4 linked regions of the Saccharomyces cerevisiae S288C genome follow. The protein of the gene in region 2 purifies or fractionates together with the protein of the main gene of each other region. This does not show direct contact. Each region holds a gene or a part of one and is shown on either strand. Other genes may lie near its edges.

Evidence for each region.
Region 1: the proteins of RRP45 (region 2) and UTP20 purify together in Saccharomyces cerevisiae (affinity purification with mass spectrometry; 4 studies listed by BioGRID). This does not show direct contact.
Region 3: the proteins of RRP45 (region 2) and RPA49 purify together in Saccharomyces cerevisiae (affinity purification with mass spectrometry, with the first as the bait; 2 studies listed by BioGRID). This does not show direct contact.
Region 4: the proteins of RRP45 (region 2) and LRP1 purify together in Saccharomyces cerevisiae (affinity purification with mass spectrometry; 4 studies listed by BioGRID). This does not show direct contact.

Annotation. Positions count from the first base shown.
Region 1 is NC_001134.8:224,352-236,052, forward strand, and holds UTP20 (Utp20p), read left to right. Parts: upstream 1-3,284; coding exon 3,285-10,766; downstream 10,767-11,701. Other genes in the region: HTA2 (histone H2A), read right to left, coding at 11,043-11,441. UniProt on the Saccharomyces cerevisiae protein: Involved in nucleolar processing of pre-18S ribosomal RNA and ribosome assembly.
Region 2 is NC_001136.10:1,017,197-1,023,958, forward strand, and holds RRP45 (exosome non-catalytic core subunit RRP45), read left to right. Parts: upstream 1-3,550; coding exon 3,551-4,468; downstream 4,469-6,762. Other genes in the region: RNH202 (Rnh202p), read left to right, coding at 2,172-3,224; PHM6 (Phm6p), read right to left, coding at 4,811-5,125; MRX10 (Mrx10p), read right to left, coding at 6,315-6,762. UniProt on the Saccharomyces cerevisiae protein: Non-catalytic component of the RNA exosome complex which has 3'->5' exoribonuclease activity and participates in a multitude of cellular RNA processing and degradation events.
Region 3 is NC_001146.8:179,590-186,067, forward strand, and holds RPA49 (DNA-directed RNA polymerase I subunit RPA49), read right to left. Parts: upstream 3,020-6,478; coding exon 1,772-3,019; downstream 1-1,771. Other genes in the region: MPA43 (Mpa43p), read right to left, coding at 1-1,433; CRS1 (cysteine--tRNA ligase), read left to right, coding at 3,286-5,589; VPS75 (Vps75p), read left to right, coding at 5,871-5,902, 5,998-6,478. UniProt on the Saccharomyces cerevisiae protein: DNA-dependent RNA polymerases catalyze the transcription of DNA into RNA using the four ribonucleoside triphosphates as substrates. Component of RNA polymerase I (Pol I) which synthesizes ribosomal RNA precursors.
Region 4 is NC_001140.6:264,295-271,017, reverse strand, and holds LRP1 (Lrp1p), read right to left. Parts: upstream 3,481-6,723; coding exon 2,926-3,480; downstream 1-2,925. Other genes in the region: putative serine/threonine protein kinase KSP1, read left to right, coding at 1-2,559; LAM4 (Lam4p), read left to right, coding at 4,180-6,723. UniProt on the Saccharomyces cerevisiae protein: Required for exosome-dependent processing of pre-rRNA and small nucleolar RNA (snRNA) precursors. Involved in processing of 35S pre-rRNA at the A0, A1 and A2 sites. Required for activity of RRP6 in 7S pre-rRNA processing.

The sequences.
Region 1 (11,701 bases), on a different chromosome or scaffold from region 2:
CAAATTTCCGATATCGAGAGTACCGATTCGGGTGGTATGCATAGATTAGATGTTCCTTTACTTGCTCCCATGTCCCAATCTAACACACATGAGTCGTCGTACGCCAGTAAATCTAAAGATTTCAGACACTCAGACTCGTACAGTGACAATGAGACTAATCATACAAACGTACCAATATCCAGTACGGGTGGTACCAATAATAAAACTGTTCCGCAGACAAGCGAACAGGAGACTGAGAAAAGGATTATACACCGTTCACCTTCGATCGATACTTCCTCATCAGAAAGTAATTCACTACACCACGTCGTTCCTATCAAAACGTCAGATACCTGTCCTAAGGAGAATACAGAGGAATCTATAATTGCTGATCTTCCACTTCCCGATCTGCCTCCAGAACCTCCTACCGAATTATCAGACTCCTTTAAGGAACTTCCACCGATCAATTCTCGTCAAACTAATTCCAGTTTGGGTGGTATTGGTGACTCTAATGCCTATACTACTATCAACAGTAAGAAAAGATCATTAGAAGATAATGAAACTGAAATTAAGGTATCACGAGACACATGGAATACTAAGAATATGCGTAGTTTAGAACCTCCGAGATCGAAGAAACGAATTCACCTGATTGCAGCTGTAAAAGCAGTAAAATCAATCAAACCAATACGAACAACCTTACGATACGATGAGGCAATCACCTATAATAAAGATATTAAAGAAAAAGAAAAATATATCGAGGCATACCACAAAGAAGTCAATCAACTGTTGAAGATGAAAACTTGGGACACTGACAAATATTATGACAGAAAAGAAATAGACCCTAAAAGAGTAATAAATTCAATGTTTATCTTCAACAGGAAACGTGACGGTACTCATAAAGCTAGATTTGTTGCAAGAGGTGATATTCAGCATCCTGACACTTACGACTCAGGCATGCAATCCAATACCGTACATCACTATGCATTAATGACATCCCTGTCACTTGCATTAGACAATAACTACCATATTACACAATTAGACATATCTTCGGCATATTTGTATGCAGACATCAAAGAAGAATTATACATAAGACCTCCACCACATTTAGGAATGAATGATAAGTTGATACGTTTGAAGAAATCACTTTATGGATTGAAACAAAGTGGAGCGAACTGGTACGAAACTATCAAATCATACCTGATAAAACAATGTGGTATGGAAGAAGTTCGTGGATGGTCATGCGTATTTAAAAACAGTCAAGTGACAATTTGTTTATTCGTAGATGATATGGTATTGTTTAGCAAAAATCTAAATTCAAACAAAAGAATTATAGACAAGCTTAAGATGCAATACGACACCAAGATTATAAATCTAGGCGAAAGTGATGAGGAAATTCAATATGACATTCTTGGCTTGGAAATCAAATACCAAAGAGGTAAATACATGAAATTGGGTATGGAAAACTCATTAACTGAAAAAATACCCAAACTAAACGTACCTTTGAACCCAAAAGGAAGGAAACTTAGCGCTCCAGGTCAACCAGGTCTATATATAGACCAGCAAGAACTAGAGCTAGAAGAAGATGATTACAAAATGAAGGTACATGAAATGCAAAAGCTGATAGGTCTAGCATCATATGTTGGATATAAATTTAGATTTGACCTATTATACTACATCAACACACTTGCACAACATATACTATTTCCGTCCAAGCAAGTGTTAGATATGACATATGAATTGATACAGTTCATATGGAATACGAGAGATAAGCAATTAATATGGCACAAAAGCAAACCTGTTAAGCCAACAAATAAATTAGTTGTTATAAGCGATGCCTCGTATGGTAACCAACCGTATTATAAATCACAAATTGGCAACATATATTTACTTAATGGAAAAGTAATTGGAGGAAAGTCCACCAAGGCTTCATTAACATGTACTTCAACCACGGAAGCAGAAATACACGCAATAAGTGAATCTGTCCCATTATTAAATAATCTAAGTTACCTGATACAAGAACTCGACAAGAAACCAATTACCAAAGGATTACTAACCGACAGTAAATCTACAATCAGTATAATTATATCCAATAATGAAGAGAAATTTAGAAACAGATTTTTTGGTACTAAAGCAATGAGACTGAGAGATGAAGTATCAGGAAATCATCTGCACGTATGCTATATCGAAACCAAAAAGAATATTGCAGACGTAATGACCAAACCTCTTCCGATAAAAACATTCAAACTATTAACAAACAAATGGATTCATTAGATCTATTACATTATGGGTGGTATGTTGGAATAAAAATCCACTATCGTCTATCAACTAATAGTTATATTATCAATATATTATCATATACGGTGTTAAGATGATGACATAAGTTATGAGAAGCTGTCATCGAAGTTAGAGGAAGCTGAAGTGCAAGGATTGATAATGTAATAGGATAATGAAACATATAAAACGGAATGAGGAATAATCGTAATATTAGTATGTAGAAATATAGATTCCATTTTGAGGATTCCTATATCCTTGAGGAGAACTTCTAGTATATTCTGTATACCTAATATTATAGCCTTTATCAACAATGGAATCCCAACAATTATCTCAACATTCCCCCATTTCTCAGGAATCCCAACAGTTATGACAAAATTTATCAGAATTCCCAGTTTCATACATGTTTGATATTTATAGATAATTCATAATGACGGTTTATTTATTCTGGTAAGTTATGATATCATGTAAAACGAGGCAACTTGGCCGAGTGGTTAAGGCGAAAGATTAGAAATCTTTTGGGCTTTGCCCGCGCAGGTTCGAGTCCTGCAGTTGTCGTTATTTTTTGGACAGTAATAAGAGTACGTAAAGTCAATGGAATACGTGGTAAAAGCATCACGTTTATGTTTTATTAAAAGATTGGCATAGAACTTGGCCTTCTTCGTAACGACTTATCACCCGTTAAAAGTATGCTATATGAGTTATATCGGCTGCAGTGTATTTCTTCCTGGCTCATTTAAAGCTAATGAAATGTACCTCTCGCTTCATTTTCTAAGGTAGTGTTTTGAAGGCGTATGTATGTAATGTCACCCGGACTTTTGTAAAGAAAAAATTTTGAGTTTATGTCTTTCCGAAAATTTTTACCGATGAGCATTGAAAAGTTGCATTATTAAATTTGGTAGCGTAAAAACCACCGATTAAACAGGTAGTGTAGGTTGTAAATTAAAGATCATATTCTTTCCTGTTTACATCCAGTTTTACGTTGTTGGCCGTATTGGTATATTTCTAGTATCAGTTACACATATTTCATTGAAAGTATGGCTAAACAAAGACAAACTACTAAATCGTCTAAGCGATATAGATATTCTTCCTTCAAGGCTAGGATTGACGATTTGAAGATTGAACCGGCTAGAAATTTGGAAAAAAGGGTACATGATTATGTCGAGTCGTCGCATTTTCTCGCTTCCTTTGATCAGTGGAAAGAAATTAATTTAAGTGCCAAATTTACGGAGTTTGCAGCGGAAATTGAGCATGATGTTCAAACATTACCCCAAATACTATATCATGATAAAAAGATTTTTAATTCTTTGGTTTCATTCATTAACTTTCACGATGAGTTTTCTTTGCAACCGCTTCTGGACCTCTTGGCTCAATTTTGTCATGATTTAGGTCCAGATTTTCTTAAATTTTATGAAGAAGCTATCAAAACTTTAATAAATCTGTTAGACGCTGCTATAGAATTTGAGTCATCTAATGTTTTTGAGTGGGGTTTCAACTGTTTGGCTTATATTTTCAAGTATCTCTCGAAATTTTTGGTTAAAAAACTGGTACTCACATGTGATCTTTTAATTCCACTATTGTCTCATTCTAAGGAATATCTTTCAAGATTTTCAGCAGAAGCATTATCTTTTTTAGTAAGAAAGTGTCCTGTTTCTAACTTGCGCGAGTTTGTTAGATCAGTTTTTGAAAAGTTAGAGGGAGATGATGAGCAAACTAACCTCTACGAAGGGCTTCTGATATTATTCACAGAATCCATGACGTCAACGCAAGAAACTCTGCATTCGAAAGCTAAAGCTATCATGAGCGTTCTTTTGCATGAAGCTTTGACCAAATCATCCCCGGAAAGATCTGTTTCATTGCTCTCAGATATTTGGATGAACATTAGTAAGTACGCCTCAATCGAAAGTTTACTTCCAGTCTATGAAGTTATGTATCAGGATTTTAACGATTCTCTCGATGCCACCAATATCGATAGAATATTAAAAGTATTGACAACAATTGTCTTCTCGGAAAGTGGTAGAAAAATTCCTGATTGGAATAAAATTACTATCCTAATTGAAAGAATAATGAGTCAAAGTGAAAATTGTGCTTCGCTTTCACAGGATAAAGTGGCTTTCCTATTTGCTTTATTTATTCGTAACAGTGACGTGAAAACTTTAACATTATTCCACCAAAAACTTTTTAACTACGCTTTAACAAATATATCTGACTGTTTCCTTGAATTCTTTCAATTTGCTTTAAGGCTAAGCTATGAAAGAGTATTTTCATTCAATGGATTAAAATTCCTACAGTTATTTTTAAAGAAAAATTGGCAATCACAAGGAAAAAAAATTGCACTTTTTTTTCTAGAAGTAGATGATAAGCCTGAACTGCAGAAAGTACGGGAAGTAAATTTCCCAGAAGAATTTATTTTATCTATCAGAGATTTTTTTGTCACAGCAGAAATTAATGATTCGAATGACCTTTTCGAAATATATTGGCGAGCTATAATTTTTAAATATTCGAAATTACAGAATACAGAAATTATTATCCCATTGCTTGAACGTATCTTTTCAACTTTTGCATCACCAGATAATTTTACGAAAGATATGGTCGGTACACTCTTAAAAATATATCGTAAAGAAGACGACGCTTCAGGGAATAATCTATTAAAGACTATTCTGGATAATTACGAAAACTATAAAGAAAGTTTAAACTTTTTAAGAGGATGGAACAAGTTAGTGAGTAATCTTCATCCTTCAGAAAGCTTAAAAGGACTAATGTCACACTATCCAAGTCTACTCCTTAGCTTGACAGATAATTTTATGTTGCCTGATGGGAAGATTCGTTATGAAACTTTAGAATTAATGAAGACATTAATGATTTTGCAGGGTATGCAAGTACCTGACCTCCTTTCTTCATGTATGGTTATCGAGGAAATACCTCTTACACTACAAAATGCCAGAGATTTAACCATTAGAATCAAGAATGTTGGTGCCGAATTCGGAAAAACCAAAACAGACAAGCTAGTATCCTCTTTCTTTCTCAAATACTTATTTGGCCTTCTTACCGTTAGATTCTCTCCAGTTTGGACTGGTGTTTTTGACACTCTTCCTAATGTTTACACAAAAGATGAAGCCCTCGTTTGGAAACTTGTGCTATCATTCATTAAACTTCCTGATGAAAATCAAAATTTGGATTACTACCAGCCTCTTCTTGAAGATGGTGCAAACAAAGTTCTGTGGGATTCGAGTGTAGTGAGGTTAAGGGACACTATTGATACGTTCTCACATATTTGGTCAAAGTATTCTACTCAAAATACGAGCATTATATCTACTACTATTGAAAGAAGGGGGAACACCACCTACCCAATTTTAATTAGAAATCAGGCTCTAAAAGTTATGCTATCGATTCCTCAAGTTGCTGAAAATCACTTCGTCGACATCGCACCTTTTGTTTATAATGACTTCAAGACTTACAAAGATGAAGAGGATATGGAAAATGAACGTGTTATTACTGGTTCATGGACAGAAGTTGATAGAAACGTGTTTTTAAAGACTTTAAGCAAGTTCAAAAATATAAAGAATGTTTATAGTGCAACAGAATTGCACGATCATCTGATGGTACTGTTGGGTAGCCGTAATACAGACGTTCAGAAGCTTGCGTTGGACGCACTTCTTGCATACAAAAATCCAACGTTGAATAAATATAGAGATAATTTGAAAAATCTACTAGATGACACCTTATTCAAGGACGAGATTACGACTTTTTTAACCGAAAATGGGTCGCAGTCTATCAAGGCTGAGGACGAAAAGGTAGTCATGCCTTATGTCCTTAGAATTTTCTTCGGTCGAGCACAAGTCCCCCCAACTAGTGGACAGAAAAGAAGCCGCAAAATAGCTGTCATTTCAGTTTTGCCAAATTTTAAGAAGCCATATATTAATGATTTTTTGAGTTTGGCTAGTGAAAGGCTGGATTATAATTATTTTTTTGGGAACAGCCATCAAATAAATAGCTCAAAGGCTACCTTGAAAACTATCAGACGGATGACTGGTTTCGTTAACATTGTAAATTCTACTCTGTCTGTATTAAGAACAAATTTTCCTTTGCATACTAATTCAGTGCTGCAGCCGTTGATCTATTCAATTGCTATGGCATACTATGTCTTAGATACTGAGAGCACAGAGGAGGTACATTTAAGAAAGATGGCAAGTAATTTAAGGCAACAAGGTCTAAAATGTTTAAGTAGTGTCTTTGAATTTGTTGGAAATACATTTGATTGGTCTACTTCTATGGAAGATATTTACGCCGTTGTAGTTAAGCCTCGTATTTCACATTTTTCGGATGAAAACTTACAACAACCCTCCTCTTTACTAAGACTTTTCCTTTATTGGGCACACAATCCATCTCTGTACCAGTTTTTGTATTACGATGAATTTGCAACTGCCACTGCATTGATGGACACCATATCAAACCAACACGTTAAGGAAGCTGTTATTGGCCCAATAATTGAAGCGGCGGACTCAATTATTAGAAATCCAGTAAATGATGATCACTACGTAGATTTGGTGACTCTCATCTGCACATCATGTCTGAAAATACTTCCTTCGCTATATGTCAAACTTTCTGACTCAAACTCGATTTCCACATTTTTGAATTTGCTAGTTAGTATCACTGAGATGGGATTTATTCAAGATGATCATGTTAGAAGTCGTTTAATTAGTTCATTAATATCAATATTAAAAGGAAAGCTAAAAAAACTGCAGGAAAATGATACCCAAAAAATTTTGAAAATATTAAAGCTGATAGTTTTCAACTACAATTGTTCTTGGAGTGATATTGAAGAACTATACACTACCATATCTTCTTTGTTCAAAACATTTGACGAGCGAAACCTCAGGGTTTCCTTGACAGAGCTCTTCATAGAACTCGGTAGAAAAGTTCCTGAATTAGAAAGTATTTCGAAATTGGTTGCGGACTTGAATTCATACTCCTCATCACGTATGCATGAATATGATTTTCCTAGAATTTTATCAACTTTCAAGGGGTTAATTGAAGATGGTTATAAGTCCTACAGTGAGTTAGAGTGGTTACCTCTGTTGTTCACCTTTTTACATTTTATCAATAATAAGGAAGAACTTGCGTTAAGAACAAACGCATCCCACGCTATAATGAAGTTTATTGACTTCATTAACGAAAAGCCTAATCTTAATGAAGCTTCAAAATCGATTTCTATGCTGAAGGATATACTTTTACCCAATATAAGGATTGGCCTCAGAGACTCCCTAGAAGAGGTACAAAGTGAGTATGTATCAGTGCTATCATATATGGTAAAAAACACGAAATATTTCACCGACTTCGAAGATATGGCCATTTTACTGTACAATGGTGATGAAGAAGCAGATTTTTTTACAAACGTTAATCATATTCAGCTTCATCGTCGTCAGAGAGCCATTAAAAGACTAGGTGAACATGCTCATCAACTCAAAGATAACAGTATATCCCATTATTTAATTCCAATGATCGAACATTATGTCTTTTCGGATGATGAAAGATACAGAAATATTGGAAATGAGACCCAAATAGCCATCGGAGGGTTGGCGCAGCACATGAGTTGGAATCAATACAAAGCTCTTCTTAGAAGGTACATTTCTATGTTGAAAACCAAGCCTAACCAAATGAAGCAAGCCGTACAATTAATTGTTCAACTTTCTGTTCCACTTAGAGAAACTCTTCGTATCGTAAGAGATGGGGCTGAGTCGAAACTTACTTTGAGCAAATTTCCTTCCAACTTAGATGAACCCAGTAATTTTATTAAGCAAGAATTGTATCCGACTCTTTCGAAAATTCTTGGCACTAGAGATGACGAAACTATAATTGAAAGAATGCCTATTGCGGAGGCATTAGTTAATATTGTTTTAGGGCTCACAAATGATGATATTACTAATTTCCTCCCTAGTATTCTAACAAATATTTGCCAAGTTTTGAGAAGTAAATCCGAAGAATTAAGAGATGCAGTAAGAGTAACCTTGGGTAAAATCAGTATTATCTTGGGCGCTGAGTATCTTGTCTTTGTGATAAAGGAATTAATGGCTACATTAAAACGTGGTTCTCAAATTCATGTGTTAAGTTACACTGTCCACTACATATTAAAGAGTATGCACGGAGTCTTAAAACACTCCGATTTGGATACCTCGTCCAGTATGATTGTTAAGATTATAATGGAAAATATCTTTGGGTTCGCTGGTGAAGAAAAAGACTCTGAGAATTATCATACAAAAGTGAAAGAAATTAAGAGTAATAAAAGCTATGATGCTGGTGAAATTCTCGCCTCAAACATCAGCCTGACAGAATTTGGAACATTACTCTCTCCTGTGAAGGCTTTGTTGATGGTCAGAATTAATCTAAGAAATCAAAACAAACTGAGTGAATTATTGAGACGATATTTGTTGGGTTTAAATCATAATAGTGACTCTGAGTCAGAAAGTATCCTCAAGTTCTGCCATCAGCTTTTCCAGGAATCAGAAATGAGTAATTCCCCTCAAATACCAAAGAAAAAAGTGAAAGACCAAGTAGATGAAAAAGAAGACTTTTTCTTGGTAAATTTGGAGTCGAAATCTTATACCATCAACTCAAACAGTTTGCTTTTGAACAGCACTTTACAAAAATTTGCTTTAGACTTACTTAGGAACGTAATAACGAGACACCGCTCCTTTTTAACTGTCTCGCACCTAGAGGGTTTTATTCCATTTTTGAGAGATTCGTTACTTTCGGAAAATGAAGGTGTGGTAATTAGTACTTTACGTATCCTGATTACATTAATTAGGCTAGATTTTTCCGATGAATCTAGTGAAATCTTCAAAAACTGTGCGAGGAAGGTACTAAATATTATCAAGGTTTCTCCTTCAACTTCAAGCGAATTATGCCAAATGGGTTTAAAGTTTCTTTCTGCCTTTATACGTCACACAGATTCAACATTAAAGGATACTGCTTTGAGTTATGTTCTAGGGAGGGTCTTACCAGATTTAAATGAACCAAGCAGACAAGGCCTTGCTTTTAATTTCCTAAAAGCACTTGTTTCAAAACATATCATGCTTCCAGAACTCTATGACATTGCGGATACTACTAGGGAAATCATGGTCACAAACCACTCAAAAGAAATTAGGGATGTATCCAGGAGCGTTTACTACCAATTTTTAATGGAATATGACCAAAGTAAGGGTCGTTTAGAAAAGCAGTTCAAATTTATGGTCGACAATTTACAGTATCCTACCGAGTCCGGCCGTCAGTCCGTAATGGAATTGATCAATTTGATTATTACAAAGGCTAATCCTGCTTTACTATCCAAATTATCATCTTCCTTCTTTCTGGCGCTAGTTAATGTTTCTTTTAATGATGATGCGCCAAGATGCCGTGAGATGGCTTCAGTATTGATTTCCACCATGCTTCCAAAGCTTGAAAATAAGGACCTTGAAATTGTTGAAAAATATATAGCCGCTTGGCTAAAACAGGTTGATAATGCATCCTTTTTAAATCTTGGGTTGAGAACTTATAAGGTCTACTTGAAAAGTATTGGGTTTGAACATACTATTGAGCTAGACGAGCTTGCCATCAAGCGTATAAGGTACATTTTGAGCGATACGTCGGTAGGATCAGAACATCAGTGGGATTTGGTATACTCAGCTTTAAATACGTTCTCATCTTATATGGAAGCAACAGAGAGCGTTTATAAACATGGTTTCAAAGACATATGGGATGGTATTATCACATGTCTCTTGTATCCGCACTCATGGGTCCGTCAATCGGCGGCAAATCTTGTTCATCAACTCATAGCCAATAAGGATAAGCTGGAGATATCATTAACCAATCTGGAAATTCAAACCATTGCAACAAGAATTCTTCACCAATTAGGTGCGCCTTCTATTCCGGAGAATCTTGCGAACGTCTCAATAAAAACATTAGTTAATATCAGTATCCTATGGAAGGAGCAACGCACGCCGTTCATAATGGATGTATCAAAACAAACTGGAGAGGATCTAAAATATACTACCGCCATTGATTATATGGTAACTCGAATTGGTGGTATTATCAGGTCGGATGAACATCGTATGGATTCTTTTATGTCGAAGAAGGCGTGTATTCAGTTATTGGCCTTATTAGTTCAAGTTCTGGACGAAGACGAAGTAATTGCAGAAGGGGAAAAGATATTATTGCCGCTATATGGTTATTTAGAAACATATTACTCAAGAGCAGTTGATGAAGAACAGGAAGAACTACGCACTCTTTCAAACGAATGTTTAAAAATACTGGAAGACAAATTGCAAGTATCCGATTTTACAAAAATATACACTGCTGTCAAACAGACCGTATTAGAAAGAAGAAAGGAAAGGAGATCTAAAAGGGCAATTCTGGCTGTTAACGCTCCACAAATTTCTGCTGATAAAAAGTTGAGAAAGCATGCGAGATCGAGGGAAAAGAGAAAGCATGAAAAGGATGAAAATGGGTATTATCAAAGACGTAACAAAAGAAAGAGAGCCTAGCTGTAATATATCTTTATAACATGTATACTAATGAATAAAAAATCCAAGTTATAACGTCAAAGCTGTAGTACGTTAGCATTTCCGTAAGTAAAACCGTAAACTTGATACGTTTTTTATTTTCTTTATTAATAGTAATACTATACACTGTCTTTAATAAAACGACGCTATTTATAAAACTGTTAGATAAAAGACATACCAGTCTTCCTCATATGACCTACTTTAAAACCCCAAATGACAAGAATGTTTGATTTGCTTTGTTTCTTTTCAACTCAGTTCTTACAGTTCTTGAGAAGCTTTGGCAGTCTTGGCAGACTTCTTTGGCAACAAGTTTTGGTGAATGTTTGGCAAAACACCACCTTGGGCGATGGTAACATTACCCAATAGCTTGTTCAATTCATCATCATTTCTGATGGCCAATTGTAAATGTCTTGGAATAATTCTGGTTTTTTTGTTATCTCTAGCAGCATTACCAGCCAATTCTAAAATTTCAGCAGCCAAATATTCTAAGACAGCAGTTAGATAGACTGGAGCACCAGAACCAATTCTCTGGGCGTAGTTACCTCTTCTTAGCAATCTGTGCACTCTACCAACTGGGAATGTTAAACCAGCTTTAGCAGATCTAGATTGAGAAGCTTTAGCAGCTGAACCAGCTTTACCACCTTTACCACCGGACATTATATATTAAATTTGCTCTTGTTCTGTACTTTCCTAATTCTTATGTAAAAAGACAAGAATTTATGATACTATTTAATAACAAAAAACTACCTAAGAAAAGCATCATGCAGTCGAAATTGAAATCGAAAAGTAAAACTTTAACGGAACATGTTTGAAATTCTAAGAAAGCATACATCTTCATCCCTTATATATAGAGTTATGTTTGATATTAGTAGTCATGTTGTAATCTCTGGCCTAAGTATACGTAACGAAAATGGTAG
Region 2 (6,762 bases):
AAAAAAGAAACTCCGAAGCGGGGAGTCGAACCCCGGTCTCCACGGTGAGAACGTGATGTGATAGCCGTTACACTACATCGGATTGTACCTTGGTGATAGTTTGACCTAAAAGAAACGTTCATTATGTAATGAAGAAAGCCAATTATTCGGTCGCAAATCAAGGTTCTGTTAGGGAATATGATTTTCTTTGACTCTCAATGAGTTCTCTTATGACTATTTAGGGGCTAAATTATTTGTTATGGCAATATTATTAGGTAGGAAAGATACGACTTTACTGAAATTGTTGGAAATACAAAAAGGAGCAGATCATTCCACATAATGATATCATTATTCCCTCTTTCATTTAAAAAATCACCGTTTTTATTTTATTAATTATCAGTCTCTGCATTTTCAGATTCTGTTAAATTTGATAAATGTTTTTCGCCGTTTATAAAGTATTTTTGCATCATGTATGATAATGTATTAGTAATATGAAAACTGGTGTTATTAATAATCAGTGGTCAGGATGTAGTATTAGTTTGGAATAAAAGCAAATCTCCTCATGCTATATAAGAGGAATATAGAAAATACAGGCCAGTTGTTCTTATTAAACATGAACATAATAGTGGGTCTAGCAGTTACTATACATTTAAATTGGCGACTACTATTATTCGTACATTCGACTATAGCAGTATTTCCAATTAATGGATCTTTAACTCAGCTATTATACTGTTTGAGTTCCTCGTTTAACATTTCCCTGTCCAACAGGGACTTAAAAGTATGTAGGGTTTGCATTAATATACAGTAGAGACACTTAAATTGTTACTATAGTAACTCAAGTTACTATTCGTGAGAATATTGACTTATTATTCTTCATGAATAGTCGATTAGTAATCAAATGAAGTAATCAGATGTGCAATGCGTCTTTAATGTTTCAGACTGGAGAATGATACGTAGCTACATAATAATCTGGGTACAGTAAACTCAATGATCTATTACCTGAATGATTAATCTGATGCTTGCAATATAACAATTCATCTCGTGACATTAACCATAAGAATTACTCTCATCATTGCTATATCGGCAAGGTTTAATATGTCCAGTCGGAGTGTATTTTATATCTCTTTCTTTTAGAATAAGAATATCTGCTTTTATTCTTAATCAATACTACAACCTAACTACTAACTATCAACACTGTTAATTACGATTCGCTCCAACAAATTTGGTTTTGTGGATTCTTAAATTCTCGAGAAAAACTTCTAATATATCTTGTATACCAGATACTGTAGCCTTTAGCAACGATAGAATACGAACAGTTCTCTTAAAATTCGCCTATTTCTCATACCGTTGCAGATATAACTAAAGTATTGACATTCAGTGACATCTGGCGCTGATATCATTATTTAACACACGTATGTTTGCGTGGCATTGTCATTTTTAAGAGCAGAGAAAGAAACAATGAGCTACTTGAGTGTGACAAGTTGAAAAGTCCACCAATTTCACGTTGAATTAGGATTCATATATGAAATTCTAGTCATTAATTAGAATTGTAAGTTTCTGAGCTTTTTTTTCCTAGTAAATTAAACTTGTCTAATACATCCAGTTGTGATGTATTCTATATCTCAGTTCTACAGTAGCACGAAGTTTCCCGGCCTCTCTATTCAATAAATTCAGCTATCGCTGATTATCAACAGCAGCAACGAATAAAGCATAAAAGAACAGAAAAATTCTTCTACAAATTTATTCTGTAAAGATTCAGCTTCTTTCGTGAATTTCTAAGTTCATGAGGGGAATTTAAGTATGGCGTTTCTTCGTAGCGCCATTGTCTTGAGCCAAAATGGAACTCTAAAAATTTTCACGACATTTTACTAGTCAGTAAAGTGAGCATATACATATAAGAAGAAATTTCAAAAGGTAAAAAATGGAGCAACTTCCAGCTCATTATCTTTTCAATGTTGTCGATGCCATAGTTGGATTATGAAATCTCATATTCATAACCACAACGCGTTTTTTTCCTTTTAAGGCACTACAGACTCCATTCTCACAAGTTTGTCAAAAGCACGAGCGCGATGAGAATTAAAGTCAGATCTGGTTAATGATTCTGGTACAACAGCAGAAACAAATCGAGTACAAATTTAATCTTATTCTGTCGCAATAGTTGACTTTCTTTTCTGGCCTCTCGAACAAAAAGCATGACCGTTTCCAACATTGGGGGGGAAGAACGACTAATAATTTTACCAGACGATTATGAAACTTCGAAAACTATAAACACTTTTACACTGCCGCCACCTTCCAATATTACATCCAAACCTCGTATCGAGCTCTTCGAAAATATTAATGGAAAACTTTACGAAATAAGATCTTTTCAATTCGGCAAAGGGCCCTCGTATTCACATGAGGAAGATTTGGCAAATGATAAATATCACTATACTAAGGAAAATCACCCGATCAAATCAACTTTCATTGTAAATACGTCTGATCCCACCGATGGTTATGTTTTTAACTCAAGCAAAATACACTTTTGTTCTTTATACGATATTGCTTTTAGTTTGATTGGATTTTACTATAGAAACAGTGTTTCAGCAGATGAACAAGATTACTCCAATTCAAGTGATACTGGTGAAAACCAAAAAAGCAACAGCAAAACCAATGAGAAATTTCTTACGGTGCGTGATTACCATGATTTCTTAACGGATAACCATGACAAGAATTGGGAAAACATTTCTTTAAGTCGTCTCAAGAGTGGCTTAGCAAAAGTTAGTGAAACCATTGAGGAAGCTGGTGACGTCTATTACAAGATCACATCTGCAATGATAACACAATTTTTGTTAGGCAAGGTATCAAAAATTGTAGAAAACTTTCCTCCAAGTATCCCTACACTTAAAAATGCCCCAACGGAAATAAAACAGTGCTACAAGGTAGTTATGGCTACAAATCTTTTAGTTTCCCTGATTCCAAGGGCGGCCTACCATAATTTACTTACCTTTTCACCTACAATGGATAGTGGTTGCCTAAATCCGGATATAAAAGCTAGCTTCATAGAACTCGAAAACTACGAGACTACGAACGAATTACAGAATGCTGAAAGAGAATTACTGATGAAAAGTGCCATGAATGTAGGCCTAAATTCGAATGGCAGGGTTTCATTGCCAGTGAAAAAAGTTACCAAAAAAATAGTTCAAAATAAAAAACCAAAAGTAGCCATAGGAAAAGGGGCCATTGATGGATTTTTTAAACGTAAGTAGCTAGTATCATAATTAAACAGCAATTTGAATGCTATAACTCGGTGGTGATGACCTCAGTGCGAGATAATTACACAATATTGTCACTACCAACGAATGGGCTACCTTTTTTTTCCTTTCTCGAATTCAAGAAAAAATTAACAACTTTTCCCTCGATGATGTTAACAAATGTCTGAATATAAAGGAATAGGAAACGGTTGCTAGATTGTATTTACCTTACCAACTTTCAAGTTTTTTTTCTAACTTCCTAACTTTCAGTCTCGATACATTAATCAACAGGACGTAGTGATTGCAAAATTGTTCAGAATATACATTAGATTAAAAGACAAATGGCCAAAGACATTGAGATATCCGCATCCGAGTCAAAATTTATCTTAGAAGCACTGAGACAGAATTATAGGTTGGACGGCCGCTCCTTTGATCAATTTCGTGACGTGGAAATAACGTTTGGTAAAGAATTTGGTGATGTTAGCGTAAAAATGGGCAACACCAAAGTTCACTGCAGGATTAGTTGTCAAATAGCACAACCATACGAAGACAGGCCATTTGAAGGATTATTTGTAATATCTACAGAAATATCTCCTATGGCTGGTTCTCAATTTGAAAATGGAAATATCACGGGGGAAGATGAAGTTTTATGTTCAAGAATAATTGAAAAATCTGTTAGGCGGTCGGGCGCATTGGACGTGGAAGGACTATGTATCGTTGCTGGCAGTAAATGCTGGGCTGTGAGAGCTGATGTACATTTCCTGGATTGTGATGGTGGATTTATTGACGCTTCGTGTATTGCCGTCATGGCAGGATTGATGCATTTTAAGAAACCAGATATAACTGTCCATGGCGAGCAGATCATTGTTCATCCTGTTAATGAAAGAGAGCCAGTTCCACTAGGTATACTGCATATTCCAATATGTGTAACTTTTTCTTTCTTCAATCCTCAAGACACCGAGGAAAACATAAAAGGTGAGACTAACTCAGAAATTTCCATCATTGATGCAACATTGAAAGAGGAACTACTGCGAGATGGTGTATTGACGGTTACGCTAAACAAAAACCGTGAAGTGGTACAAGTTTCCAAAGCGGGTGGTTTACCAATGGATGCGTTGACGCTAATGAAATGTTGTCACGAGGCTTACAGCATTATTGAGAAAATAACTGATCAAATACTGCAGCTTTTAAAGGAGGATTCAGAAAAGAGAAACAAGTATGCAGCCATGCTTACATCTGAAAATGCCCGCGAGATCTAATATTAACGAAAAAACTGAAATAAAAGCAACGCTTATACATATACATGCATGCATTAATATATGTATATATATCGGTACGTATAGATTGTAAAATTACACTTACTACTAAAGGCAGTATGAAAGACGCCCGCAGTTTTTTTCCTACTGTTTTCTTGACTGCGGTGTTCAAAAACATAAAAATCATTAAATTACTATAAAACAAACGCATACTGCGAAGAAAAAAGGCTCGGCTATAAATGCATATGAGAAAATATTATCTTTTGCCTCCCTGCTTAATTTCTGAAGGCATGTACTATCCAAAAGAAAAATCTTGAAAGAAAACAAATCCCATTATTCTTATTATTAAAACAAAAACTTCGTCATCGTCATCACATAAAAAAGACCTACCATTGTCAAACTGTACAACAGCAACACAATAATAATGACGATGATGAGTTCCTCGAGAAACCCTAGAACGGCGTTATAACACTGTTTGAGGGTATTACTTTTTCCACTACTCTCGTGGCGCGGAAGACCTGCTTCCAAATCTACTGTGTAATCAATACACTTAACCTCCTCTCTCTCCCCTTGTGCGTCAGAAAACTCTGCCTGTCTTATTTCCTTCTCCTGTTGTCCTATTTTCAGTACATCATCGATGCACCTCGAGGTATCTTCCATCTTGGTGTCAGGTTGAAAAACAATTGCTGTCGTTTTTTTTTAGTTCAACAAGTTTGGTATGGCAGTTGACAAAAATTCTATTTGGGCTGCAATGAATCAAAGTGTACAAACATCTGGTGAAATCGTTCAAGTTTTATACTGAATAGAAAACAAAAGATAAGGTTCTGCGCATCGCAAATAATAAATTACTAGCGCGCCATACAAGAGACGAGTCTATTTTTTTCCGCCAGACGACACAAAAAAGAACCCGTGCAAATATTATATCCCACCTCCCACGTGTCAGCGAAGCTCGGAACTGCGTAACATTATAGGGCAGAACATCCAAATGGAAAAAGTAATAACACTATTTGCGATGTTAGTGGCCATCCTGCGTCGTTCGGATAGGTTAGGACGGGCTGATGAATATACGGGTGTAATAAAAATGACACCACGTTATCAGGGTTTTCATGACAGTGCAAACTAATATATGTCATATTATTTTAAGTGGGCTCATTTATTTACATGTTTATTTTTTATTGTAATTTGCGTATGTATCATTACACGCTAATGCACATTTGCACGTTCTAATAATGAAGGTCGTCCGTCATAAGCAATTAGGAAATGAGAAATCTTGATTTTATCGCTAAAAAACGCTTTCTCTTGTGGCAGGAGCAGATCTCTTACATATGTAGTTATTTAGTCGCTTCTAAGAGCCAGATCAGGTGCGTGGATTCATATAATATCCCTTTTTCAATAACAACGTTATAAGGAAACGTTGGGTAAAAGAATATTAATTACTGAGTGGAACTTTTTCTCATTGTTCTGTGTATATACAATGTTGTATCTCAAAATGAGATATGTCAGTATGACAATACGTCATCCTAAACGTTCATAAAACACATATGAAACAACCTTATAACAAAACGAACAACATGAGATAAAACACGGCCTTCCCTAGCTGAACTACCCAAACGTATAAATGCTTGAACAATCAGTTTAGATCCGAGATTCCGCGCTTCCACCACTTAGTATGATTCATATTTTATATAATACATAAGATAAGTAACATTCCGTGAATTAATCTGATAAACCGTTTTGACAACTGGTTACTTCCCTAAGACTGTTTATATCAGGATTGTCAAGACACTCCGGTATTACTCGAGCCCGTAATACAACATACAAAAGTAACTCTTATTTACAAAAAAATCTCTTACTTTGTAGCATCTAGATCATCATTCGTGGGTTCTGAGCAGTAGGAAGAATATTTCTGGTAGAAATGATAAATTTCAAAGCACAGTTCGAAAGCAATCAGGTATATAATTATCCATTCCAAAAAAGTGCTGTTTCTCTCGTTTAAAAGAGAGATGAGGGCTCGACACTCGTCCGTAGAATAGTCCAGCTTGCTGTTCAGAATATTTATTCTTGGGCCTATGTCCAAATACCTCGAAACATTTTTAAAAATCTCTTCCAATTGAGGTTCACTCCAATAAAGATCAGGGGTCTCAATTAGTTCTGAATAGAGGTTCAACTTTCCTCTAATTAGAAAAAGGCGGCCTATTGACTTTAATGCATCACTTGACCTTAGATTTAACTTTGTTCCCTTAGAAATATTTTCTGTTATTGTTCTGGTCTTTGATATATGTTTTTCCATTGCTTCT
Region 3 (6,478 bases), on a different chromosome or scaffold from region 2:
TGTTTCTTTTCCTTTGCAGACTTAGCAAGCACGTAAGCACCTTTGATACCCATCATATCGACATTCTCTTTAGGTTTAATTATTGCTACACCGTTGTTAACCAAGGAAATCAATGATAATAGTCTTTCATTTTTCGCTTGACTACCAGATATCCTTAACTCTTTGATATGTATATTTGAATTTTCATTTTGAAATGTATCAATTATCAATTTTGTCTGAAATGATAAAAATTCCAAGATACAAATATATTTATATGTAAGATTCAACATTGATGTATCGGTGGACTCGCCAATGAAAGAACCCTTTATCCGTGGATCTGCAAAAGGAGTCCTATTTCCCTCGTAATCACCGTAGAAAAACATATCTTTCGTAAGAATATGAATTGAGAGACCATTGTTCTTCTCAATGTCACGAATGGTTTGTTCGAGTACTTGATAGATATCAGCACCATCTTTCAGAATTTTCCTGGCACATGGATGACTCTCAAATAAATGTTCAATTAATTTACCAGTACACGACTGGCCCGCAGCATAAACAGAAAAATCACCCCTGTTGTCAAGTATAGTATCAAAAGGTCCCCATACTCCAGGAATTCTAGTATCAGAGATGGTAGTACCATACATGTAGCAGCTAGAAGTCCCGGCTATCATAAACAATGATGTTTCCAAATGAGGAGAAGCAACTGCGAACCAACTTGCATAACTGTCAATACAACTGCGAACTACAGTTGTCGAAATGTGCTTATTGGCAACAAGACTAGTGGTTCCAATGCTTACATTAGATGGTAAATTTATAATGTTTTTGTAAAATGAAGATGACCAGCCAGATACCTCTCCATCATTGCCTATACCATTAAGATTTTCTCTTCCCAAAAGTCCTTCAATGTTCCATTCATACAAGCGGCTCAGTTCATAAGCAATGTATTGATGAAGATCAAAGATATGAAAATGTTTGTCTCGTAAATGAGAGTATTCATCTAAAAAGTACTTCAATTTGGGGACGCCCATTTCGGGTACAAATTTTCCTCCCAAATAATCCAAAAGCTGTTGTGGACATTGCATATTTAGCCATTGACATTCGTTTACGGCAGAAGAGTCCATCCAAAATATGACATTATCTTCATTTGGATACGGTATCAGCATGTTACTTGTGCGATCCCTTTCGAAAATAGCTAATGAACACGTTGCAGAAACACCACATGACTTTACCTCATATTCTCTAATGTTCAGTTTCTGAAGACACTTTTGAAGGGCTTTAATTATTTCAGTTGATTTTTGCCAGAATTTCCATGACTTCTTTGAAGAATCCTGGTAGTATGGGACTGGTTCCTGCGCCATTTCTAACAGCGCATCATTGTAGTAATTATATACACCTATTCTAGCACTTGATGAACCTACATCAATTCCGATGCCAACTTGCAGACTGCTATTCATGATTTCACCTATATAACACGTTGGTTTCTCATTTAAAGTTACCTTTATTGAAAAAAATAAACTGATACATTTTTAAATTTCAGCTTACTAAGGTGCTAGAAAGCCGAACTACGCTATGAATTAATATTGAATTTATTGCGAAGTTTAAAATTATTGTAAAATATCTATTTGTACATATGTATCTTCTCAGAAAAAATAGCGTATATCTATGTAGTTATTTTTGTTTTTCTCTTCCTCTCATCAGGAGGACCGTCTTATATTTTGCTGCTTTATAGAACCATCTAGCAAAAAAAAAAACCAGAGCAAACCAAATGCTCAGTATATACCTCTAGGTAACTCTAACGTCTTGGACCTCTTCCTCTTCTTGTCATTTCAGGTAGCTTAAATGGAACTTTCATAGTGGCAATTTTATAAGAAGCTGCAGTACTTTTTGGAATGCCAAAAGCCTCAGCTTGAGCCACTGTGGCACCTTTGACAATAGCACCAAGTACCCTGAACAAACTGACAACTTTGGAAGGTTTCAAGTTCAATTCGTGTGCTAAGGGTGTGATTTCAACAATGAAGTTATCCAAATGCATTATGATTGCCAAGATGTAGCATAAGATTTTATCTTCATTTTGTGGGTCAATGAAATAGGAGCGATCCTTTGATCTTCCAAACTGTCCAGGCTTTATCACGGTAAATCTGCTTAAGATACCATCTACCAAGATTTCAGGAGGACTGTTCAACCTTTCTAACAACTTCGTCTTGTTATTCACGCGTCTATTTTCGTATACGCCCAGTAATAGTGATAAGTAGTATAGTAGCTGTAATTTGGTCATTTGTGAAGGTTGTGTCAAAGAGTCCAATTTCTTTGCCACATACTTGGAATTGTTTTGGTATGGGAACAATTCCAACTTCTTTTCCTTATCCGCTTCTTTCAGAATTGATGAAACGCGAATAAACTGTAATTCCTTCTTTGGTATTATACTTTCAATTGGGTAAATTTGTTCTACATCAGTGGCATCGATATTGGCTAATGGAGTAGGTCTATCGTTGGAAGTAATTTCATCCAATTGAGCCCGAGTTGGTAAATCCTTAGATGCAGTTCTCACGGAATCCACAATGTCAATAGCAGAATCAGTCAACTTATCAGAGTCAATACGGTTTCTTTCTAGATCTGCAATAGCTTTTTTAGCCTTTTTAGTACCAAACGCTTCACCCAACGCATTTCTCAAAGCAGATGGACGAGTATCACTCTTACTTTTTATTTTTGGACCCCTTAGATTCTTGCTTGACTTGGATACAACTTTGGAAACAAGTACGGGAGCCTTGTAGAGTTGAATACTTTTCTTTTCTGGATTAAATAGGCCCACAACATACTGGTTCGAAGCTTGGGAAGAAGAATCAGTATAACCTTCGTATTCTAGTCTCTCGTTTTCACCGTGTAATACGAATTCGTCCTTTTCAGACTTCTTTTTTTTGTATAAGTCGAACGTAGTGTCACTGGGAGCACGGAAGCCCTTGAAGAAACTTCCCACGGCAACAGAGGGTTGATCTTGAACACTTTCAATTTCGATTTCAGAAACAGACCTTTTCACGGACATTACTAGATAAAGTGCAAAAGGTTGATAACGACTGCAATAGTGGTAGCAACTTAAAAAGCCCTCCTAATATCATTAGTGTTCATGCAAGAATACTTACTATTAAAAATGAGATGGAAAATTTCAGCTCATCGCAATAAAAAATTTTCAGCGCGGGTGACCGCAAACATTTTTCATCGCGAAGAGTCAAAAGACATTATCAATTGAAAAGAACAGTATTGCTAATTGGCGTCGGTGATTAGGTGTCCGGTCAAGTTCTTATTCTATGCATGAATATCTTCATAAAAGCCCTGAGAAGATATACTATAATGTCTACGCCGAAGATTGTGCAGCCCAAATGGAAGGTTCCAACGCCACAAGCTAAAGAAACTGTGTTGAAGTTGTACAACAGTTTAACAAGATCTAAGGTTGAATTCATTCCGCAATCTGGCAATAGAGGTGTCACTTGGTACTCTTGCGGTCCTACTGTTTACGATGCCTCCCATATGGGTCATGCCAGAAACTATGTCTCTATTGATATCAATAGAAGAATTATTCAAGATTATTTTGGTTACGACGTGCAATTTGTGCAAAATGTTACTGATATCGACGATAAAATTATTTTGAGAGCTAGACAAAACTATTTATTTGACAATTTTGTCAAAGAAAATGATACCAAATTCAACGCCACTGTTGTTGACAAGGTCAAAACCGCACTTTTCCAATATATCAACAAAAATTTTACTATTCAAGGCAGCGAGATCAAAACTATCGAAGAATTTGAAACTTGGTTATCGAATGCTGATACTGAAACTTTAAAATTGGAGAATCCTAAATTCCCTATGCATGTCACCGCAGTTCAAAATGCTATTGAATCAATCACTAAGGGCGATTCCATGGACGCAGAAGTTGCCTTTGAAAAAGTCAAGGACGTTACGGTTCCTCTATTGGATAAAGAATTGGGCTCTACCATTAGCAATCCAGAGATTTTCCGCCAACTTCCAGCTTACTGGGAACAGAAATTCAATGATGACATGTTATCATTAAACGTGCTACCTCCCACCGTTACAACTCGTGTTTCTGAGTACGTTCCAGAAATTATTGACTTTGTTCAAAAAATTATTGATAATGGTTACGCATATGCCACTTCCGACGGTTCCGTGTACTTTGATACTTTAAAATTTGACAAATCCCCAAATCATGACTATGCTAAATGCCAGCCATGGAATAAGGGCCAGTTAGACTTAATTAATGATGGTGAAGGGTCCTTAAGCAACTTTGCTGATAACGGAAAAAAGTCGAATAATGATTTTGCTTTATGGAAGGCTTCCAAGGCAGGTGAACCTGAGTGGGAATCACCATGGGGTAAGGGTAGACCAGGATGGCATATTGAATGTTCTGTGATGGCCAGTGATATCCTAGGCTCTAACATCGATATTCATTCAGGTGGCATCGATTTGGCCTTTCCTCACCATGATAACGAATTGGCTCAATCCGAGGCTCGCTTCGACAATCAACAGTGGATCAACTATTTCTTACATACGGGCCATTTACATATTGAGGGTCAAAAAATGTCTAAATCCTTAAAGAATTTCATTACCATTCAAGAAGCTTTGAAAAAATTCTCACCGCGCCAATTAAGATTGGCTTTTGCCTCAGTACAATGGAACAATCAATTGGATTTCAAGGAATCTTTGATCCATGAAGTAAAGTCATTTGAAAACTCCATGAACAATTTTTTTAAGACTATTAGAGCATTGAAGAACGATGCAGCTTCTGCAGGTCATATCTCTAAAAAGTTTAGTCCCTTAGAGAAAGAATTATTGGCTGATTTTGTTGAAAGTGAATCGAAAGTCCATTCGGCGTTCTGTGATAATTTATCCACACCTGTTGCTTTGAAGACACTGAGCGAATTAGTGACCAAGTCAAACACATACATTACCACTGCAGGTGCTGCTTTAAAAATTGAGCCCTTGATTGCTATCTGTAGCTACATCACCAAAATCTTAAGAATAATTGGATTTCCATCCCGTCCTGACAATTTGGGTTGGGCAGCCCAAGCTGGCTCCAACGATGGATCCCTAGGCTCATTGGAAGACACTGTTATGCCATATGTTAAGTGTTTATCCACATTTAGAGATGATGTACGTTCCTTAGCTATCAAGAAAGCCGAACCCAAGGAATTCTTGCAATTAACGGATAAAATTAGAAACGAAGATTTGCTAAACTTGAATGTTGCCTTGGATGATAGGAATGGACAATCTGCCTTGATCAAATTTTTGACTAACGATGAAAAATTGGAAATTGTCAAGCTAAACGAGGAGAAACATGCCAACGAACTAGCAAAGAAACAAAAGAAATTGGAACAGCAGAAATTAAGAGAGCAGAAGGAAAACGAGAGGAAGCAGAAAGCTCAAATTAAACCACAAGATATGTTCAAGGATGTCACATTGTACAGTGCTTGGGACGAGCAAGGCCTTCCAACAAAGGACAAAGACGGTAATGATATCACCAAGAGTATGACCAAGAAGTTGAAGAAGCAATGGGAACAACAAAAGAAGCTACATGAAGAGTACTTTGGTGAAGACAAATAGAATACTCGTGGCTTCGTTATGTGTGCAACTATTCAAAAGTACGTATATATGTATATACCATCTTTTTTTACGTTAAAATAGTGAAAAAGGAAAGGAGGAAAGAAAAAACTAATATAATTAATTGTATTATATATGTACTTTTCATTTTGGAATGTGAAAAAATTCCAGGCGGAAAAAATTGAAAAAATCAAACACTGCGCTTGTGAGAAAAGGGAAGAAAAGCATCCTAATGATTAGGCGCTTGATGTTGACGACAAACATTTCGAAGCATAACACTGCCAATGATGAGTGACCAAGAAAACGAGAACGAGCAGTATGTAGGATTGAGCTCTGCAGGGCATGAAATGGAAAAATAAAGCAACCCATTATACTAACAATATGCACTTAGCAAGTGCGGTAGATGGTCAGTGCAAAAGCATTCTTAGGATTGGCTAAATGCGAAGAAGAAGTGGACGCTATTGAACGTGAGGTAGAATTATACAGATTGAACAAAATGAAGCCTGTTTATGAAAAGAGGGACGCGTATATTGACGAAATTGCAGAGTTCTGGAAAATTGTGCTTTCACAACACGTTAGTTTTGCGAATTACATAAGGGCTTCAGATTTTAAATACATTGACACTATAGATAAGATCAAAGTAGAATGGCTGGCATTGGAGTCTGAAATGTACGACACTAGAGATTTTAGTATAACATTCCATTTCCATGGAATTGAGGGAGACTTCAAAGAGCAGCAAGTCACCAAGGTGTTCCAAATCAAAAAAGGCAAAGATGACCAAGAAGACGGGATACTGACTAGTGAGCCCGTTCCAATTGAGTGGCCCCAGAGTTACGACTCGATAAACCCGGACTTGATCAAAGACAAACGCAGTCCAGAGGGTAAAAAAAAG
Region 4 (6,723 bases), on a different chromosome or scaffold from region 2:
CCTAAGAAAACCAAATCGATCACTCATATTATCACACAAATCATGGATGCAATTGAATATGTTCATAACAAGGGCATTTATCATCGTGATATAAAACCTGAGAACATTTTAATTTCTGGAATTGATTGGACAATTAAGCTTACAGATTGGGGATTGGCTACTACAGATAAGACGTCTATGGATAGAAATGTCGGTAGTGAAAGATATATGTCCCCTGAACTTTTTGATAGTAATTTGGATATCAAGGAAAGAAAGGAACCTTATGACTGTGCCAAAGTGGATTTATGGGCTATGGGAATTGTGTTTCTTAATATTGTTTTCCATAAGAATCCTTTTAGTATTGCCAATCAATCCGACAAGTCATTCTGTTATTTTGCTGCTAATAGAGAAGCGTTGTTTGATGTATTTTCGACAATGGCTTATGATTTCTTTCAAGTATTAAGGTATAGTTTAACCATCGATCCGGCTAATAGAGACTTGAAAATGATGAGAACTGAACTACAGAACTTATCTGAGTATACATTAGACGATGAATACTATAATAACTTGGATGAAGGATATGAAGAAACTATGATTGACGGTTTGCCACCTCAGCCTGTTCCTCCATCTTCAGCACCGGTATCATTACCTACTCCTATTTCATCTAGTAACAAACAACATATGCCTGAATTTAAAAAGGATTTCAATTTCAATAATGTGAATGAAAGGAAACGGTCAGATGTCTCTCAAAATCAAAATGTTGCAAGCGGCTTCTTTAAAAAACCGTCTACACAACAACAGAAATTTTTCAACCAGGGTTATAATACAACACTATCTACTCATGAAAGGGCTAAATCTGCTCCTAAGTTCAAATTTAAGAAGCGCAATAAGTACGGAAGAACTGATAATCAATTTTCCAAACCAGTCAATATCGAAGATAGAAAGAAAAGTAAAATTTTGAAAAAATCAAGGAAGCCTCTTGGCATACCAACGCCTAATACACACATGAATAATTTTTTCCACGATTACAAAGCAAGGGATGAATTCAACACCAGAGATTTTTTCACTCCTCCAAGTGTCCAGCACAGGTATATGGAGGGGTTTTCCAACAACAACAATAAACAGTACAGACAGAATCGTAATTACAACAATAATAACAACAACAGCAATAACAATCATGGAAGTAATTATAATAATTTTAACAATGGTAATAGCTATATAAAGGGTTGGAACAAAAACTTTAACAAATACAGAAGACCAAGTTCCTCCAGTTATACCGGTAAGTCACCACTTTCAAGGTACAACATGAGCTATAATCATAACAACAATAGTTCTATAAATGGTTATGCAAGGCGTGGTTCTACGACTACAGTTCAACATTCACCAGGCGCTTATATTCCACCAAATGCCAGGAACCATCACGTAAGCCCAACGAATCAGTTTTTAAGAGTTCCGCAATCAACTGCTCCTGATATCTCTACCGTTTTAGGTGGGAAGCCTTCATACCAGGAACACTACACTCAGGATAGTATGGATTCTGAGGGCGATCACGATTCAGACGACGTTTTATTCACTCTTGAAGAAGGTGATCATGATTTCGTCAATGGTATGGACAACTTATCTATAAATGATCACTTACCGCATACAACGGTAGGTAGCCATAATGAAGTATTTGTTCACGCAAGCACTAATCACAATAACAATGGCAACAACAACCATATCGACACCAATAGTACCACTAATCAATATCATAGACAATATATTCCACCTCCTTTGACAACATCATTGCATATCAACAATAACAATAATGAATCTAATGAACTACCAGATTTACTAAAATCACCAGCATCATCTGAAGCACATTTAAATTTATCTTCTGGACCAATTGATCCAATTTTAACAGGTAATATTGGCAATCGATATTCACACTCATCTGACTCTAAGGAGCTAGAGCAGGAGCGTAGACTCAGTATGGAACAAAAATTTAAAAATGGGGTTTATGTTCCACCTCATCATAGGAAGAGTTTCAACTTGGGAACACAGGTACCTCCTATGAATATGAAGACAAGTAACGAGGCCACGTTGTCAGTTTCGCATAATTCTGTTAATTTTGGTGGATCTTACAATTCCAGGCGTTCCAGTGCTAATGAATCTAACCCACTGCATATGAATAAAGCACTCGAGAAGTTGTCCTCTTCACCAGGAGCTAAAAGCTCCTTCGTTGGCTTCCCTAAACCTTTATTACCTCGTAATCATTCAAGCACTACGATTGCGTTGCAAAATGAAGACGTATTCGCAGACTCTAACAATGACGCCATAATTTTCGAAGACGAAGAATACGAAGGAGAAAGTGACAAGATGGCACATGGCAAAATGGAAGGTGGTGACAACGAATCCTCGTCAACCTCCCCGGATGAAAGGCAAATTTTCGGTCCTTATGAAATTTATGCTCAAACTTTCGCTGGCTCCACTCACGATAAAAAATTAGGAGCTGGCAGGAAGACAAGTATTCAGGATGAAATGGTCGGATCGTTAGAACAATACAAGAATAATTGGTTAATTTTACAGCAACAAGACTAAGCGCACCTATTCCCTCTGTTATGTTGCTTATTATTTTCTTCCCTTCTGAAATGCATTTTTAGCTTTTTTCATCAATTTGGCATCATCGTGCATTTCAACTTCTAAGTATGAATGCTTTTTGGTAGTTAAGCTTGAAGGGTTTTATGAAAACTCTCTTTTCTTAGATATTTCTACAGTCTTATATAACGTCAATTCACACAAAAGTGTTCACTGCCAACTACAAGAATAGCATATACACATATTAGTTACTTCAACGAGTTCTTATTGTTATTATAAAAGTATATAAACCCTATAAGCATTTTTGCATTTGTGCTCTCACATCACCTTTAATCATTTTTTCACTCATGTACCAGTATACGTCGACCTCTACTTCTTCCCTCCTTTCTTTTTTCCAACTTTATCCAATCTTTTACTTTTCTTACTACTTGCTTTCCTTATATGATCGGTACTGTCAATAATCTTAGTCGTTGTACTCTCTGCCAGTTCATCGTTTTCAAATTTCGTATGCTTCCCTTGAAAGTTGCTCCTGCTTATAGAGGGCTCGAATTGGTTTTTATTACCGTCCAAAACATTGGAAATGATATTCTTAGCTTTTTCTTGCTCTGCCTGCGATTTTTCGTTGGATTTGGTTATCCTATTATCGTATTGTTTAGCCTTATCCATGTATGATTTTACTCTTTTCAGTTCGCCGAGTATAGGAGACATATCTTTGACGCCTAGGACTTTCATATTAGCAAACATCAGAGAACTCAATACATACGCGTAACGATTAATTAGTTCTAATTTAGCCCTCTCATCAGATAATAGCAACAGCTGTTCATCCAGTGACTTCGACGTTAGTTTCTCTATTTCTGGTTTCAGCTCGTCTAACGCCTTTGAAAAACTCCTAACGTATGGTTTTATCTTTTCGATATCTTCCATTACTGATCTAATACTCCGTTACGTTGCTAGATATATGTTTATATTAATCGATTTCTACTGTAGGCTGTTAACCAGTTTTTTCTTCCACAGACTACAGAAGGCACAGTCCATAACCATCTGCCTTAGCTCATCGCTGAAAAACTGCACGAGAATTCGTGAAACGTGACATGTTGGGTACCCGCATGAATAGAAAATATGCTAGTAACGACTCTTCTTTACATTCCCATTGCTGGTGTATGTACGCTGATATGAAAATGCTTGCCCAATAAATACCAAGGTTATGACGTTGCCGCTTTGTATTGTCTTCTAATCTAAAAATCTTTCCACGCCAGTAGTGGCTGGCTTTATGCGGCAAAGATCGCTGTTTCTCCTTTTAGAAGTAAATTTCCACGGAGTATGACGGCCGGACGGACCGGCGTAGTTCATTCTAGTCTTAGGGGTCCTTTACCTTGGCAAAAGCATTTCTAAGTGAAACCCTTGCAGGAGTAGAATTGGGCGCAAAGGTCCCTCGTTGGGATCTGTCCTCCTGGGGGACGGTAGGTGGTTGAATGATTCTGCCTTCTTGAAATACGAAATATCAATCTGTTTCTGCTGGCTCACGGTATCTACTGTAATTTCGTTGCTATTGCCATTGATATTAAATTATTGCTACTGTGTGTGGTTCTTACTCTCCATGGATAGTGTTGAAAATATACAGTAATGACTAGAGATTCAAAAAAGAAGCACCATTGGGGCACTGCCTTTTTAAGGACAATTGGAGTCAAACGTAAGCACAAGAAGGATCGTAATTTTTTAAATAATACTACAGGAGAGAATGTTAGCACAACAGCCAGTGCTGAGCGATTCAGAAGAGTAGGAGGAAATCCGGATATTCCGTCTTTACTTAAGCCCGAAACTTTCACGGAATCTCCTGCAAAAGGATCTCAAAAGGCGGCGGCATCTTCCTTAGCGCATAGCCAAGGTGTATTCAATATTCCAATCGTTATAGATCCCATGGAAACAAACAGGCTTGAAAAGACAAACACGAATTTGACGGCAGGTTCATTGAAGGGTCGCTTTCAGGATGGTAACTCGAATTCAAATTCTGTACCAAGTTTATCCGTCCAGGCATTAGAAAAGGAAAAACTGCAAAGTGGGAAACGAGAAGGGTCCAGCAATCAAGCTGAGGAAAAAACTCCAGACGGCCATGATGAACATACCGCCTTTGAAACGTTTCTTTCCTTCGCCCATAATGCCGTAAGCCACATTCCCAAAATAAACGTACAAGACGCTGACAATGGAACAATTTCCAGGAATGAACCAAAGGACAGGAAAAAAAACTCATCTAATATATCAGGAGCCCTTTCCGAAAATAGCACTAACAATAAAAACACTTCATCGACAAAAGAAAGCGATGGCCCATTTTTGAAAAATTTAGACAATATTCTTGCAGCATCCAAATCATCAACTCCAAGTAACCAACAGCTTAATACAACGGAAGCAGGAAGTAAAAGTAAACCATCATCATTATCTAGATTGGCATTTGGAAATTTGAAAGGCCATATTCACTCGAACTCACATTCAAGCTCTAATGCTATCTCAGGAGATGATACATCATTAGATGACACTAGAAAGATGACGGATGATATGGCCAGGAAAGTGGTTTTCGAACCCATCAGGCACTCTCATGATAAGCCTACCCCCGGAGTTGGAAACTTAAAATTAGAGCACTTCGATGATTCTCAAGCTACTCTTGAAGGGTTAGAGGCAATGTCAGCAGAATCGCTGCCAGAGGCGGATCACCTTGACAGCAGAGGCCCGGTACAACAAAGTAATTTGGAAAGAAAAACTGTTCCTTCCAAATGGTCAGTAGTCAGTTCCTCTACAACAGATGGAGTCAAGCCTAGAAGAAGAGCCAAATCAATGATTAGCGCAATGGCAGATAAACAAAACACCAGTAGCGACGTTTTACAAGATTGTAAAAAAAGATTGTCCTTCAACTCCTCTAATGGCCTAACGAATAACGACCCGGAGTATGAAGACCGCGAACCTAGGGAAATGTCCAAGAAGTTTCTTAACAGGAGGTCATTTTCCCCCGGAAGCATTAGCATGGGAATGAAAGTACTACCTTCGACGGCACTGAAATATTCGCTAAACAAAGTAAAAAACAGCACTGATATTGCATCGACCATCATACCGAGACCTAGTATGTCCAACGGTCGTCCATCTTCGGGATTGAGGAGAAGTTCTAGTAAAAGCTTTTCATCTACCCCCGTAAATATCATTGAGCCATCGGAGGAAAATGGTAGACAATCCAGCATTAGAATAAAGGGAGTCGAATACGCGAGCGAAAAGAAAGATGCAGAATTCCATGCAATATTCAAGGACTCTGGTGTCAGCCCCAATGAAAGGTTGATTTTAGACCATAGTTGTGCTTTGTCAAGAGATATCCTTTTGCAAGGCAGAATGTATATTTCTGATCAACATATTGGATTTTATTCGAACATCCTTGGTTGGGTAAGTACCGTTTTTATACCGTTCAAGACAATCGTTCAAATAGAGAAAAGGGCCACAGCAGGAATATTCCCTAATGGGATCGTTATAGACACTTTACACACAAAATACACGTTTGCCTCTTTCACTTCAAGAGATGCTACATATGATTTAATTACTGAAGTATGGAATCAAATAATTTTGGGAAAGAGGTTTCGTAGCAACAGTAATAACACTAATAGCAGCTCCAATTCTATCAGTGATGATGAAAATGACGATTACGATGATGATTACGATGATTATGGAGATGATGATGACGATCTTTACGATAATAGCAATAACATATCTGATTCTACCGACATGACATCAAGCGTCAGCATAGGAAAGCCGGAAGATTTACCCATGCCTCTACAAACAGACACCCCTTATGGAACAGGAATTCCACCACTAGGTCCAAAAATTCACTCACCCACAGAAACAGTATACAAACCAGCGCCCAATGAAAAATTAGTTAACGAATCAACAATACACGCTTCGTTAGGGCGGGTTGTCAATATATTATTCGGGAAAGATGTCAGTTATATTATGGCCATTTTAAAAGCGCAAAAGAATAGTGATATTTCGCCAATCCCTGTTCTCGTTGATTCACCCACGGTTTCTGAAGGTAAAAAGAGAGATTATTCCTACGTAAAAACAACACCAGGTGCCATTGGACCCGGTAAAACTAAATGCATGATAACTGAAACCATTCAACACTTTAACTTAGAGGAG